Linked DNA regions of Anolis sagrei. The protein of the gene in region 1 purifies or fractionates together with the protein of each later gene. This does not show direct contact. Links are inferred from orthologs where the notes say so. Each region holds a gene or a part of one and is shown on either strand. Other genes may lie near its edges.

Region 1 (7,093 bases):
ACAGATAGATTCTCTCCATTTGATAGCTCTGTGAAGAGTCGAAAACACAATTACTGACTTTCCTTTTTTTTCATATAGTCAATGAGGTGAGACATTGTTGCTTCCAATGAAGGACTCTGCCTCCAAGATAAACGCAATCTATTAATGCCAAGCATCTAGGACAAGAAACAAAGGCTGTGGTGAAGCACATACTTCTTGCAAAGATTTATATGGCTATCTCTTGATGAGAATATTAAGAGTATTAGAAGTAGGGTGCACCTACACTGTAGAATTAATGCAGATTGACACCACTTGGGTTGCCAGGGCTCAATACTATGGAATCATGTAAACAAAACTGGAATGTACTTAGTCCTAATCTTTTTAAATACTGGTTTTCAACCACTTCATCGAATCATAGAATCATAGAGTTAGAAGAGACCTCATAGGCCATCCAGTCCAACCCCCCTGCCAAGAAGCAGGAAAATAGCATTCAAAGCACCCCTGACAGATGGCCATTCAGCCTCTGTTGAAAAGTCTCCAAAGAAGGATCCTCCACCATACTCCGGGGCAGAGAGTTCCACTGCTGAACGGCTCTCACAGTCAGGAAGTTCTTCCTCATGTTCAGGTGGAATCTCCTTTCCTGTAGTTTGAAGCCATTGTTCCATATCCTAGTCTCCATGGCATCAGGAGACAAGGTTGCTCCCTCCTCCCGATGACTTCCTCTCACATACTTATACATGGCTATCATGTCTCCTCTCAGCCTTCTCTTCTTCAGGCTACACATGCCCAACTCTTTAAGCCGCTCCTCATAGGGCAGTGGTTCTCAACCTGTGGGTCCTCAGGTGTTTTGGCCTACAACTCCCAGAAATCTCAGCTATTAGGATTTCTGGGATCTGAAGGCCAAAACATCTGGGGACCCACAAGTTGAGAACCACTGTTGTAGGGCTTGTTCTCAGACCCTTGTGTTGCAATAGCAGGTACTTCACACAGTCCTAGAAGCTTGGGAAATGTTTGACTTGTGTTTTTTTTTAATACAAAATCCAGCATATAGATCTCTTTTGCTGTGACATACTGGGTTTTTGTGTCATAATAATAATAATAATAATAATAATAATAATAATTCATTGGAACTTGTGCCACAAATACCTTCTGCCTGCAACAAAGAACTGGTGGGATCACTAGCCAGAAAAAGTTACAGAGAATGAACATGCCAAACTCTTCTGCGACTTCCAAATTCAGACAGACAGAGTTCTGGAGCACAACACTCCTGACCTCACAATCGTGTTAAAAAACAAAGTATGGATTGTCGATGTTACAATCCCAGGTGACAGCAGGATTGAAGAGAAACAACTGGAAAAGCTGACACGATATGAGGATTTAAAGATCAAACTGCAAAGACTGTGACACAAGCTAGTCAAGGTGGTCCCAGTGGTGATCGGTACACTGGGTGCAGTGCCTAAAGACCTTGGCCTGCACTTAAACACAATTGGCACTGACAAAATTACCATCTGCCAGCTGCAAAAGGCCACCTTACTGGGATCTGCACGCTTACTGGGATCTGCACGGCTCCGGTCCAGCGTACCTGTCTGACCGTATCTCTTCCTACGTCCCACCTTGGAGCTTAAGATCTTCTGGGGAGGCCCTGCTCTCGGCCCCGCCTTTGTATCAAACATGTTTGGCGGGGATGAGGGTCAGGGCCTTATCGGTGGTAGCCCCCCGCCTGTGGAATTTGCTTTCCGGGGAAATTAGGTCATCGTCATCCCTCTTTACCTTTAGAAAGAAGGTAAAAACGTGGTTGTGGGACCAGGCCTTTGGGCAATTAGGTTAAAGGACAATTGATAATGTTTGACTATGGCTTGGAAGTCAATTTAGATAAGTTAAGTGGAGTAATCATTAGTATATGGCTAGATAAATAGCCACCAGACTGGCAATAGCTAAATGGATCGTAAGTATACAGTTTAATCTTTATTAATGTTTATGTTTTAATTGTTATATTTGCTATTTTGTATTTTATGATGCGGCATTGAATTATTGCCAATTGGAAGCCGCCCTGAGTCCCCCTAGGGGTTGAGAAGGGAGGGGTAAAAATGTTTGAAATAAATAAAATAAATTATTCGCCGATACATCACACAGCGCTAGACACTTGGGAAGTGTCCGATGTGTGATCCAATTCAACAGCCAGCAGAGTGTCTGCTGTGGACTCATCTTGTGTTTCAAATAAATAATAATAATAATAGTAATAATAATAATAATAGTCCACGGTAGTCCACGCTCTGGTTACATCCCGCTTAGATTACTGCAACGCTCTCTACGTGGGGTTGCCCTTGAAGACGACCCGGAAGCTCCAATTGGTCCAACGTGCGGCAGCCATGTTACTAACAGGAGCGGAACGCAGGGAGCACACAACGCCCTTGTTGTACCAGCTCCACCGGCTGCCGATTTGCTACCGGGCTCAATTCAAGGTGCTGGCTTTGGCCTATAAAGCCCTAAACGGTTCCGGCCCAAGATACCTATCTGACCGCATCTCGGCCTACGAGCCCACAAGAACTTTGAGATCGTCCGGGGAGGCCGTGCTCTCGATCCCGCCTGCCTCACAGATGTGCCTGGTGGGGAGGAGAGACAGGGCCTTCTCGGTGGTGGCTCCTCGGCTGTGGACATCAGACTGGCTCCTTCCCTGATGATATTCCGCAGGAAATTAAAGACCTGGCTGTTCAAGAAGGCGTTCGAACAAGAAGTGCAATAATTGGTAATGACGACAGGAATGGAACAACGGAAAATGATACCGGATTGTAGTTTGGACGATGAGACGACGCGGAATGGTTTTTGTAGAAATGATGCTACTGTTTTTTGTATAATGTTGTGAATTGTTTTTTTTATCGTGCTTTGAATATTGTTGCTTTCATGTTTTACACCGCTGCGAGTCACCCTCGGGCTGAGAACAGCGGTCTATAAATAAAGTAAATAAATAAATTTACAGCCATGATTTTAACAGGAGCGGAGCGCAGGGAGCATACAACCCCCCTGTTGTGCCAACTCCACTGGCTACCGATCTGCTACCGGGTTGAATTCAAAGTGCTGACGTTGGCCTTTAAAGCCCTAAACGGTTCCGGCCCAAGCTACCTATCTGACCACATCTCTGCCTATGAACCCACCAGGACTTTGAGATCTTCCGGGGAGACCCTGCTCTCGATCCCGCCTGCTTCTCAAGCTCGGCTGGTGGGGACGAGAGATAGGGCTTTCTCAGTGGTGGCTCCTCGGCTGTGGAACGCCCTTCCTACGGACATTAGACTAGCACCATATCTAATAGTATTCCGCAAAAAGGTGAAGACCTGGATGTTTGTGCAGGCGTTTGAGTAATTTAGTGCAATCTGGTAATGGAACATAGGAATGGAACAATGGATGACGAACCTGGACTACGCTTGGATGATGAGAAGATTGGGTACGGTTGTTTTTTGTAATAATTGTGCATTGTAATTGCTTATTGGTAATTTAAGTTAAGTCAATTGTTATATGTTGTATGGAACCACTGCTGTTTCTACTGTTTTTACTGTTTGTGAACCGCTGTGAGTCGCCTTCGGGCTTGAGATACAGCGGTATATAAGCAAAGTAAATAAAATAAATAAATAAATAAATAATAGCCTGAATGCAATTTTATGCAACATTTTAAATAATGTGCATGAAACAAAGTTTGTATACACTGAACAATTAGCAAGCAAATGTCTCCTTCTTCCTGCCAGCCAAGTGGGCAATATTCTGCAAATAAAGGTGTATTATATTCAGCTGCAATTTCCCCTGGGCATGGGTGAAGTCATAACCAGGGTGATGACGCAATGCCCTTGCGATTCCCACGGCGGCCGCTAGAGGCCGCGCGCTCCTCCTTTTTCCCTCCTTGCCGGCGTGACACAGCACAATAGAGGCAGCGCGGTGCATGCCGGTCGCGCCTGGACAGCTCGGCCTCGCGCCGGGGCTTGAATGACAGGAGTGAAGGAGAGCTCGCCGACCAATCAGAGAGGAGGAGGACGGGAGGGGCGGGTTTCCGGTTTGGCCAGAGGGAAGCGGAAGGAAGGAGCGAGCGAGGCAGATTTTGGAAAGGGCTCTGAGGAGAGAGAAGCTGAAGGTAAGGCGGAGGAGAGGAAGGGAGGATGTCAGGATCGGGGAAGAAGGCGTGAGGGCCGCGTCAGGCCTTTCCCCATGCCTTCGTGCTTCTCCGCCACGATCTTCTCCCTCTCATCCCCCCTTTTCCCTCTTGTGGCCACTGAGCATGCGCAGTTCAGTCATCGGGCTTCTCTTTGTATTTAAAGGGCCAGTACAGACATTCGTGGCCAATATGGTTGCAGTCTTTTGGATGAAGGTTATATCTAGTTACTAGCCGTCCCCTGCCACGCGTTGCTGTGGCCCACATGGGGGTTCTGTGTGAGAGGTTTGGCCCAATTCTATCGTTGGTGGGTTTCAGAATGCTCTGTGATTGTAGGTGAACTATAAATCCCAGCAACTACAACTCCCAAATGTAAAGATTCTATTTCCCCCAAATTCCACCAGTGTTCACATCTGGGCATATTGAGTATTTGTGTAGACTTTGGCCCAGATCCATCATTGTTTGAGTCCACAGTGATCTCTGGATGTAGGTGAACTACAACTCCAAAACCAAAGGACACTGCCCACCAAACCCTTCCAGTATTTTCTGTTGGTCATGGGAGAACTGTGTGCCAAGTTTGGTTCAATTCCATCGTTGGTAGAGTTAAGAATGCTCTTTGATTGTGGGTGAACTATAAATCCCAGCAACTACAGCTCCCAAAAGACAAAATCATTTTTTTGAGTGAAGGACATGCATTGGGTTGTTAGGTGTCTTGTGTCTAAATTTGGTGTCAATTCGTCCAGTGGTTTTTGAGTTCTGTTAATCCTACAAACGAATGTTACATTTTAATTTATATAGATAGCTAGATTCTATATCTGTTTGTGTAAATATATGTATCCATGTTTGTGTGTGTATACAGCAGGCCTGGGCAAACTTGGGCCCTCCAGGTGTTTTGGACTCCCAACTCCCACAATTCCTAACGCTGTTAGGAATTGTGGGAGTTGGGAGTCCAAAACACCTGGAGGGCCCAAGTTTGCCCAGGCCTGTTCCACACTGTAGATACAAATCAAATTGTGTGAAACAAATAGTTGCAAACACAATGATAAACCATCCTATAAAACACATTTCAACAACATTAGTAAAGGGGAAATTTAAAAGGAGTTTTCATAAACCATTCCATATTTCACTGTTCCAACACATGATGGTGACTGAACTGAACTGTGTCAGGACAAAACTTTATACTCCCGCCTCTCGAATGAGACCACTAGCGCTTCGCTACGTCTTCAACTGACTGAATTGCACGCATTTTAAAAAAGGAAGTTATGCTGCCTCACCTTTTACATTAGTAAAGGGAAATTTAAAAACCGTTTCCATACACCATAAGGCCATGTATTCAGTCACTCATTTCACCATAGGCTTGGGAACATAGGGAGGTTTTCAGTCGTTTTCTGAAAGAGGGCAACAATGGGGTCATTCTGATGTCTTTCGGGAGAGAATTCTAGAAAGGTGTGGAAAGCATCTAATAATACCTTTGAGACTGGTTTCTATTACCTTGCGCTTTCATCACTTTCAAGACATTTCAGATGCTCTGTTGGAAGTACTCAGTTAAAGATTTAAATACCCATGACATTAATTTTGCACACCTATTAGTGCCTCTGAAGAAGTGATTGTAATCCATGAAAATTCAAGCTAAATCAGGCTCAAAGATGCTTCTAGATTCTACTCCTTTTTGTGTTTTTCTACACAGCTACAGGGTGAGGCAGCATAACTTTGTTTTTTGAAAACTTAATAAAACCCAGTGTATGAATCATAATTTTTTATTATTTTTTATAATGTAGGTGCATACTTAAAGTTTTGTTTTACGGGGTTTTGAAGATCAAATTAGGTAGGTGATGTCCCCCATTCTCCATATACTGAGTAAACCGATTTCTGGTGTTTGTCATGACTCTTGCCAGCATAGCAGGCATTATGTTGGCAATTTCTTCCTGGATGTTGATCTTCAAATCTTGTAGGTTCCTTGGACGGTTCACATAAACACAGGATTAAAAAAATGGAGAAAATTTCCTTTTTGGGAGTCTGCTGGAGCACTCATTCTCTCTAGAATAGTGGCATTCAGAGTTATGATCTTTTTCTAGGAGAGAAGGAAACAGTTACGGGCAGTGGTCACAAATATCATGCCAATCCCTCACACACTGAGTGGAAAACTCCCTGTTATCTCCCTACATCATATTGTGCAATGAGCATTGTTCTAAACCAGGCCTGCACAAGCTATGGCCCTCCAGGTGTTTGAGACTCCAACTCCCAGAAGCCTTAGACAGCATGTCCAATGAATTCTTGGAGCTGAAGTCCAAAACACCTGGAGGGTTAGCTATAGGTTGTGAGTAGCTGTTTTAGACTGAAAAGCTTTATTTTAATGTGGTAGGATTTTTTTAATATAAAGTAAACTTCTATTCTTGATAAAATGTTTCTGAAAATACATTTTTGGAGTCACAGTCTTCTAATATTTGGCAACGTTCCCACCCCTGATTCAAACACACCGATCTGAATTATGTTTTCCCTTTATGCATGAATTATCAAACATGAGCAAAACGTCTTTTTATAATGGAATTTACTCACTGTAGACTTTTGATTGACTTGCCATGAGTTCACTGAGAGAAAGAGAACAATATTGGGCTTATAAAGAGAAACAACTGGAGAAGTAATACTTTCCTGATGAATTTTCCACCTTCTGTTTTTTCTTCTGTTTTCTCTGCACAACTCTTGCATCACTCATTCTTACTCAAGAGATCATTTGATATGCCCCAGATCACTGGCATCATAAAAATGCTTTGTGTCATGGTCTTAGGTGACTGGAGAGCTCTTGGCTTTTGGAGTCAGAATATATTTGAGGGAGCTGTGCTGTAACCAGCAAAAATAGATGATATTTGAGACCATGGAGTAGCAGTAAGATGACAGATGAGGAAGCTGCTTTGGAAAACAAAGCCTGAATGCAAAGGTTTGCTGATTATATTTAGATTATGGACTTGCATTTTTCTTGAG
Region 2 (7,096 bases), on another chromosome or scaffold:
CAAACTTCGGCCCTCCCGGTGTTTTGGACTTCAACTCCCACAATTCCTAACAGCCGGTAGGAATGTTAACACCGGGAAGGCTGAAGTTTGCCTGCACCTGGTGTAGATGCATCCAAAAATATATCCAAGCAATAATAATCTTAAGTACTTCAAATAAAATTGGAATAAAATCTATTTTAACTGCTATTTAACTAAATTTGCATTAATAAAACTGTTTTTGTAATACAGTAAAACGGTATTACATTAAGTACAGTTTGAAAATTATTGTTGATATTCTTGTTATTATTAAAATCCTCACTCAGTCATGAAAACCACTTGGGCTATTATTATTTTTGTTGTTGTTATTATTATTATTAAATTCCCACTCAGTCATGAAAACCACTTGGGATATGATGATGATTATTAAATTCCCACTCAGTAATGTCATGAAAACCACTTGGGCAATTATTATTATTATTATTATTATTATTATTATTATCATTATTATTAAATCCCCACTCAGTCATGAAAACCACTTGGGATAGGATGATGATGGTGATTATTATTATTATTATTAAATCCCCACTCAGTAATGTCATTAAAACCACTTGGGCTATTATTATTATTATTATTATTTTTAAATCCCCAGTCATGAAAACCACTTGGGATATGATGATGATGATGATTATTATTAAATCTCCACTCAGTAATGTCGTGAAAACCACTTGGGCAATTATATTATTATTATTATTATTATTATTATTATTAAATCCCCACTCAGTAATGTCATGAAAACCACTTGGGATATGATGATGATGATTATTATTATTAAATCCCCACTCAGTTATGAAAACCACTTGGGATATGATGATGATGATGATGATTATTATTATTACATTCTCAGTAATGTCATGAAAACCACTTGGGCAATTATTATTATTATTATTATTATTAAATCCCCAATCATGAAACCACTTGGGATATTATGATGATAATGATTAAGATTATTATGATTATGATTATTATTAAATCCCCACTCAGTAATGTCATTAAAACCACTTGGGCAATCATTATTGTTATTATTAGTATTAAATCCCCACTCAGTCATGAAAGTCAACTTGGGATATGATGATGATGATGATTATTAAATCCTCACTCAGTAATATCATGAAAACCACTTGGGCAATTATTATTATTATTATTATTATTATTATTATTATTATTAAATCCCCACTCAGTCATGAAAACCACTTGGGATATGATGATGATGATGATGATGATGATGATTATTATTATTATTATTAAATCCTCATGACCCCAAGTGGTCATGAAAACCACTTGGGCAATTATTATAGATAAATATAATAAATATAATAATATATTCCTATCAGTCACGAAAACCACTTGAGCACTTCATTGCAACTCTAAAGCAATCCCAAACCACCTTTATCGACCTCTACTTTTGCAAATCAATGAATTTTCTACCTGGGTTTTCCTTCTCGTTCCTTTAGGCATCAATCACGGTGACCTCAACGACCACAATATTTTAATAGAAGCCGATTCCTCTTCCCCTGGAAAGCCAAGATACAGAGTGTCGGGGATTTTGGACTTCTGCGACATGAGTTATGGCTATTTCGTCTTCGAAGTGGCCATCGCCATCATGTACATGATGATCGAAAGCCAGGATCCCATCCGCGTGGGAGGCCACGTCTTGGCCGGATTCGAGAGCGTGGTGCCTTTGACCCCGGAGGAACGGGCCGCCCTTTTCCTGCTGGTCAGCGGGAGATTCGTCCAGTCCCTTGTGATGGCGGCCCACACCAGTCTCCAGCACCCTGAGAATAAGGACTATTTGATGATCACGGCCAAGACGGGGTGGAAGCACCTGATGACTCTCTCTGAGATGGGCCAAGAGGCCGTTGAGAAGATCTGGTTTGAGACCGCAAAGGCTTACGATACCTGAATTGACTTTCACAAGCCTGTAGTTGCGGACCTGATTTGCAATAAATTTCCTGGGCATTCTTGGGATTGTAATCTATGGCCATGAATGAATGAAAACATCACACAGACCTAGAAACTTGGGAAGTGTTCGACGTGGGATCCAATACAAAAGCCAACAGTGTTCTTGTTTGCTGTGTACTAATCCTGTTGTGTAAATAATAAAGAATTATTATTATTATTATTATTATTATTGGGTTCTTGTAGGTTTTTTCGGGCTATATGGCCATGGTCTAGAGGCATTCTCTCCTGACGTTTCGCCTGCATCTATGGCAAGCATCCTCAGAGGTAGTGAGGTCTGTTGGAACTAGGAAAATGGGTTTATATATCTGTGGAATGACCAGGGTGGGACAAAGGACTCTTGTCTGCTGGAGCTAGGTGTGAATGTTTCAACTGATCACCTTGATTAGCATTTGATGGCCTGGCAGTGCCTGGAGCAAACTTTTGTTGAGAAGTGACATAACTACAAATTTTTAAACATAAAATTAATTAGAATTAAAATGTGTAAATATAAACATTGAAATGGTATTAAAACATAGGATTAGAAAGAGTGAAAATAAATTAAAATACACAAATACATGGAATCTATGAAACTATATAACTACAAATTATTAAACATAAAATTAATTAGAATTGACTCCATTAAGGATAAGAACACAGAAAAGCTTTTTTTTTTTTACTTCACCACTGCTGCAAGAATAGTGGTAGCTAGAATATGGAAATCCAAGGAGGCACCAACTGTGGAGCAATGGTTACTGAAAATATGGGATATTATGAATATGGACATCCTCACCCATAAAATCTCGCAGAGCATAGCAAAACCCCCTAGGACTAACTGGGAGGGCTTTCTGTATTGCATAAAAGGGCTATATAATGAGATATATATTAGTACTATACATTAATGAAACTTGAAGGTAAAGTAATAGGAAACTGGCGATTACACCATTACTAATATAGATAACAGAAAAGAAAAGGGGATTAAAGTATAGTTTACTCCCCGGTGCCTGACCAGCAAAACCTGGAAGTATTTTAAAATTTACTCGGGGAATAATTGTTGGTGTTGGTAAGTGTTGTTATTGATTAATCATTGTATTGTATTCAGTCGTATGTCTGTTTATTCGTTCGTATGTTTGTTTGTATTGTCTCTTTGCACTAATACATTTCTCTTCTATCAGCTCCTCTAAGAGCAATATCTTCTAAATAAACATATTCCAAAAAAATTTAATTAGAATTAAAATGTGTAAATATAAACATTGAAATGGTATTAAAATATAGGATTAAAAAGAGAGAAAATAATTTAAAATACACAAATACATAGATTATATGAAACTACATTACAAATATTAAGCATAAAATTAATTAAAATTAAAATGTGTAAATATAAACATTGAAATGGGATAAAAACACAGGATTAAAAAGAGTGAAAATAAATTAAAATACACAAATACATGGAATCTGAAACTACATAACTACAAATTATTAAGCACAAAATTTAAATGTCTAAATATAAACATTGAAATGGGATTAAAATATAGGATTAAAAAGAGAGAAAATAAATTAAAATATATAAATATATGGAATATTTGAAACTACATAACTACACATTATTAAGCATAAAATTAATTATAATTAAAATGTGCAAATATAAACATTGAAATGGGATTAAAACACAGGATTAAAAAGAGAGAAAATAAATTAAAATACATAAATACATGGAATCTATGAAACTACATAACTACAAATTATTAAGCATAAAATTAATTAAAATTAAAATGTGTAAATATAAATATTGAAATGGGATCAAAACACAAGATTAGAAAGAGTGAAAATAAATTAAAATACATGGAATCTATGAAACTGCAGAAATACATGGGATCCAGCCTACTGCAGCTTTGATTCCTTGCTGGCAAGATCTGATGCACTTTAGATGGGAAGGATGATCTCAAATGCCCACACTCATCATGGCGTTTCTGGCGACACGGAAGTCCGGTCTGAAGTAACGTAGCGGGCCAATGGGAACTTCCGAGGAACGAACGCTCTGTCCGAAGCCACGCCCCCTCTCTATAGTTAGCGCAGTGCGCTTGCGCGGGGAGTGGCGGCCATTTTGGATACCGGCTGAGGCGGAACTGAGGGTAAGTGTTACTTCTGAGGGAGGGAAAGGGGGCTTTTGGGGCCTAGTCGGCCTTTCTTGCGAGGCAGCCTGAGCCCGGGACCTTCGAGGATCTTCCGTGTCCCTGTTCGTGCCTCTTCAGCCCTTCTCTGTCTTCTCCGTCGGGCGAGGAGGATTCTTGGGGCGAGGATGACTCGGCAAGGCTGTCACTCTCTGGAAAAGGCCTGGGCCAAATGAGGCCTTATTTAGTTATTTCTCGTGTCAGGGCAACCAGTCAATTGTATTACATTTCTAACAGAACAAAACAAACAAACAGGCAGACAAAACACAAAGACAAAACCCTGACTTGGCCACGGTAGTCCACGCACTGGTTACATCCCGTATAGATTACTGCAACGCTCTCTACGTGGGGTTGCCTTTGAAGACGGCTCGGAAGCTACAAATGGTCCAACGATCGGCAGCCAGGATGCTAACAGGAGCGGCACTCAGGGAGCATACAACTCCTCTGTTGCGCCAGCTCCACTGGCTGCCAATTTGCTACCGGGCACAATTCAAAGTGCTGGCTTTAGCTTTTAAAGCCCTAAACGGTTCTGGCCCGACCTATCTGTCCGAACGCATCACCCCCTATGAACCAGTTAGGACATTAAGCACGGCTGACGGGGACGAGAGACAAGGCCTTCTCAGTGGTGGCCCCTTAGCTGTGGAACGCCCTTTCCGCAGACGTTAGATCGGCCCCCTCCCTGCTGGCGTTCAGGAGAAGAGTGAAGACCTGGCTCTTTGAACAGGCATTCAATTAAGTAGTGCAATCAATTGACTGAGTTTGGAACTTGGAATTTGGAACTTGGAATAATGGACGAGGAGATCGGATTATGACTTTACTGATGAGACGTGTTGGATTTGTTGTTGTTGTTCATTCGTTCAGTCGTCTCCGACTCTTCGTGACCTCATGGACCAGCCCACGCCAGAGCTCCCTGTTGGCCGTTACCACCCCCAGCTCCTTCAAGGTCAGTCCAGTCACTTCAAGGATGCCATCCATCCATCTTGCTCTTGGTCGGCCCCTCTTCCTTTTGTCTTCCACTTTCCCCAGCATCATTGTCTTCTCTAGGCTTTGCTGTCTCCTCATGATGTGGCCAAAGTACTTCAACTTTGTCTCTAGTATCCTTCCTTCCAGTGAGCAGTGAGTTGGATTAGTTATATGGATGTATTGATGTCATGTTGATTTACTGATGTGTCGTTGTATTGTTTTAGTTGCTTTAGTTATTGTTTAAATGTTAATGCTAATGCTTTGCACTTTGTATATTGACCTGTTGTAAACCGCACTGAGTCGCCTACGGGCTGAGATAGTGCGGTATACAAATAAAGTAAGTAAGTAAATAAATAAATAAAGTTTGCAAGCTTGGTAGTTGATTAGATGTTCTTTGACCAGTATCTGGCCACTTGGAGTGCCTCTGGTGTTGCCGCAAGAAGGTCCTCCATTGTGCATGTGGCAGGGCTCAGGGTGCATTGCAGCAGGTGGCCAGTGGTTCTGAGAGTGGTCCCGCATTTCCTTGTTCTCAAATAATATGCTGACACCTCCCAACAAAGGATTCCTTCAGGCAGGAGTCAGGCAGGCCTTGAAGCTACAAGGCTTGGCAATGCTAATCAAGGTGGCCAATTGCAACATTTACACTCCCTTCCAACAGACAAGAGTTCTTTCTCCCACTCTGGACATCATTCCACAGATATATAAACCCAATTTCCCTAGTTTCCAACAGACCTCACAACTTCTGAGGATGCCTGAAATAGATGGGGGTTATTTATTTACCGTGTCATCAGCAAACAGACAGTTGTATTACATTTTTAACAAAAACAAATAAACAAACAGACAAAACACAGAGTTTGCAAGCTTGGTAGTTGATTAAATGTCCTTTGACCAGTATCTGGCCACTTGGAGTGCCTCTGGTGTCGCCGCAAGGAGGTCCTCCATTGTGCATGTGGCTGGGCTCAGGTTGCATTGCAGCAGGTGGTCAGTGGTTTGCTCTTCTCCACACACGCGTGTCGTGGATTCCACTTTGTAGACCCATTTCTTGAGGTTGGCTCTGCATCTCGTGGTGCCAGAACGCAGTCTGTTCAGCGCCTTCCAACTCGCCCAGTCTTCTGTGTGCCCAGGAGGGAGTCTCTCAATGGGTATTAGCCATTGGGTTTGAGCCTGCCATTTTTGGACTCTCGCTTGCTGAGGTGTTCCAGCAAGTGTCTCTGTAGATCTAAGAAAACTATTTCTTGATTTAATTTGTTGACGTGCTGGCTGATACCCAAACAAGGGATGAGCTGGAGATGTCATTGACTTGGTCCTTTCACTATTGGCTGCTACTTCCCAGCGGATGTCAGGTGGTGCAATACCGGCTAAACAGTGTAGTTTCTCCAGTGGTGTAGGGCGCAGACACCCCGTGATAATGTGGCATGTCTCATTAAGAGCCACATCCACTGTTTTAGCGTGGTGAGATGTGTTCCACACTGGGCATGCATACTCCGCAGCAGAGTAGCACAGCGCAAGGGCAGATGCCTTCACTGTGTCTGGTTGTGATCCCCAGGTTATGCCAGTCAGCTTTCGTATTATATTATTTCTAGCACCCACTTTTTGCTTGATGTTTAAGCAGTGCTTCTTGTAGGTCAGAGCACGGTCCAGATTACTCCCAGGGATTTGGGTGTGTTGCAATGCTCCAGTGGGATTCCTTCCCAGGTAATCCTCAGAGCTCAGGATGCTTGTCCGTTCAAAGTGGTCTTTACAGAAGACATCTTCACATGCATCACACTTCAGAGGTAGAAAGTCCAATTGTTTACAAGTCTTCTCAGAGCAATGTTCACCCAGGTTTGGGAATTCAGTTACTAGGAAGTCGTCTCCTTCTCAACAAGACTGTCACCACCCATAGATGCAGGCGAAACATCAGGAGAGAATGCCTCTAGAACATGGCCATATAGCCCGAAAAAAACCTACAGCAACCAAATAATAAGCATTATAAGCTTCATTTGTAT

What was found. The genes of interacting proteins can lie anywhere in the genome.
Region 2: the proteins of ADRM1 (region 1) and PSMA4 fractionate together in Homo sapiens (co-fractionation; 3 studies listed by BioGRID, with this or other methods). This does not show direct contact. The link is inferred for Anolis sagrei from reciprocal best matches to the Homo sapiens genes ADRM1 and PSMA4.

Annotation. Positions count from the first base shown.
Region 1 is NC_090024.1:232,621,888-232,628,980, forward strand, and holds the start of ADRM1 (proteasomal ubiquitin receptor ADRM1), read left to right. Parts: upstream 1-3,996; 5' UTR 3,997-4,096; intron 4,097-6,899; 5' UTR 6,900-7,041; coding exon 7,042-7,049; intron 7,050-7,093. UniProt on the Homo sapiens protein: Component of the 26S proteasome, a multiprotein complex involved in the ATP-dependent degradation of ubiquitinated proteins.
Region 2 is NC_090029.1:11,848,177-11,855,272, reverse strand, and holds the start of PSMA4 (proteasome subunit alpha type-4), read left to right. Parts: upstream 1-4,018; 5' UTR 4,019-4,106; intron 4,107-7,096. Other genes in the region: HYKK (hydroxylysine kinase), read left to right, coding at 1,491-1,939. UniProt on the Homo sapiens protein: Component of the 20S core proteasome complex involved in the proteolytic degradation of most intracellular proteins. This complex plays numerous essential roles within the cell by associating with different regulatory particles.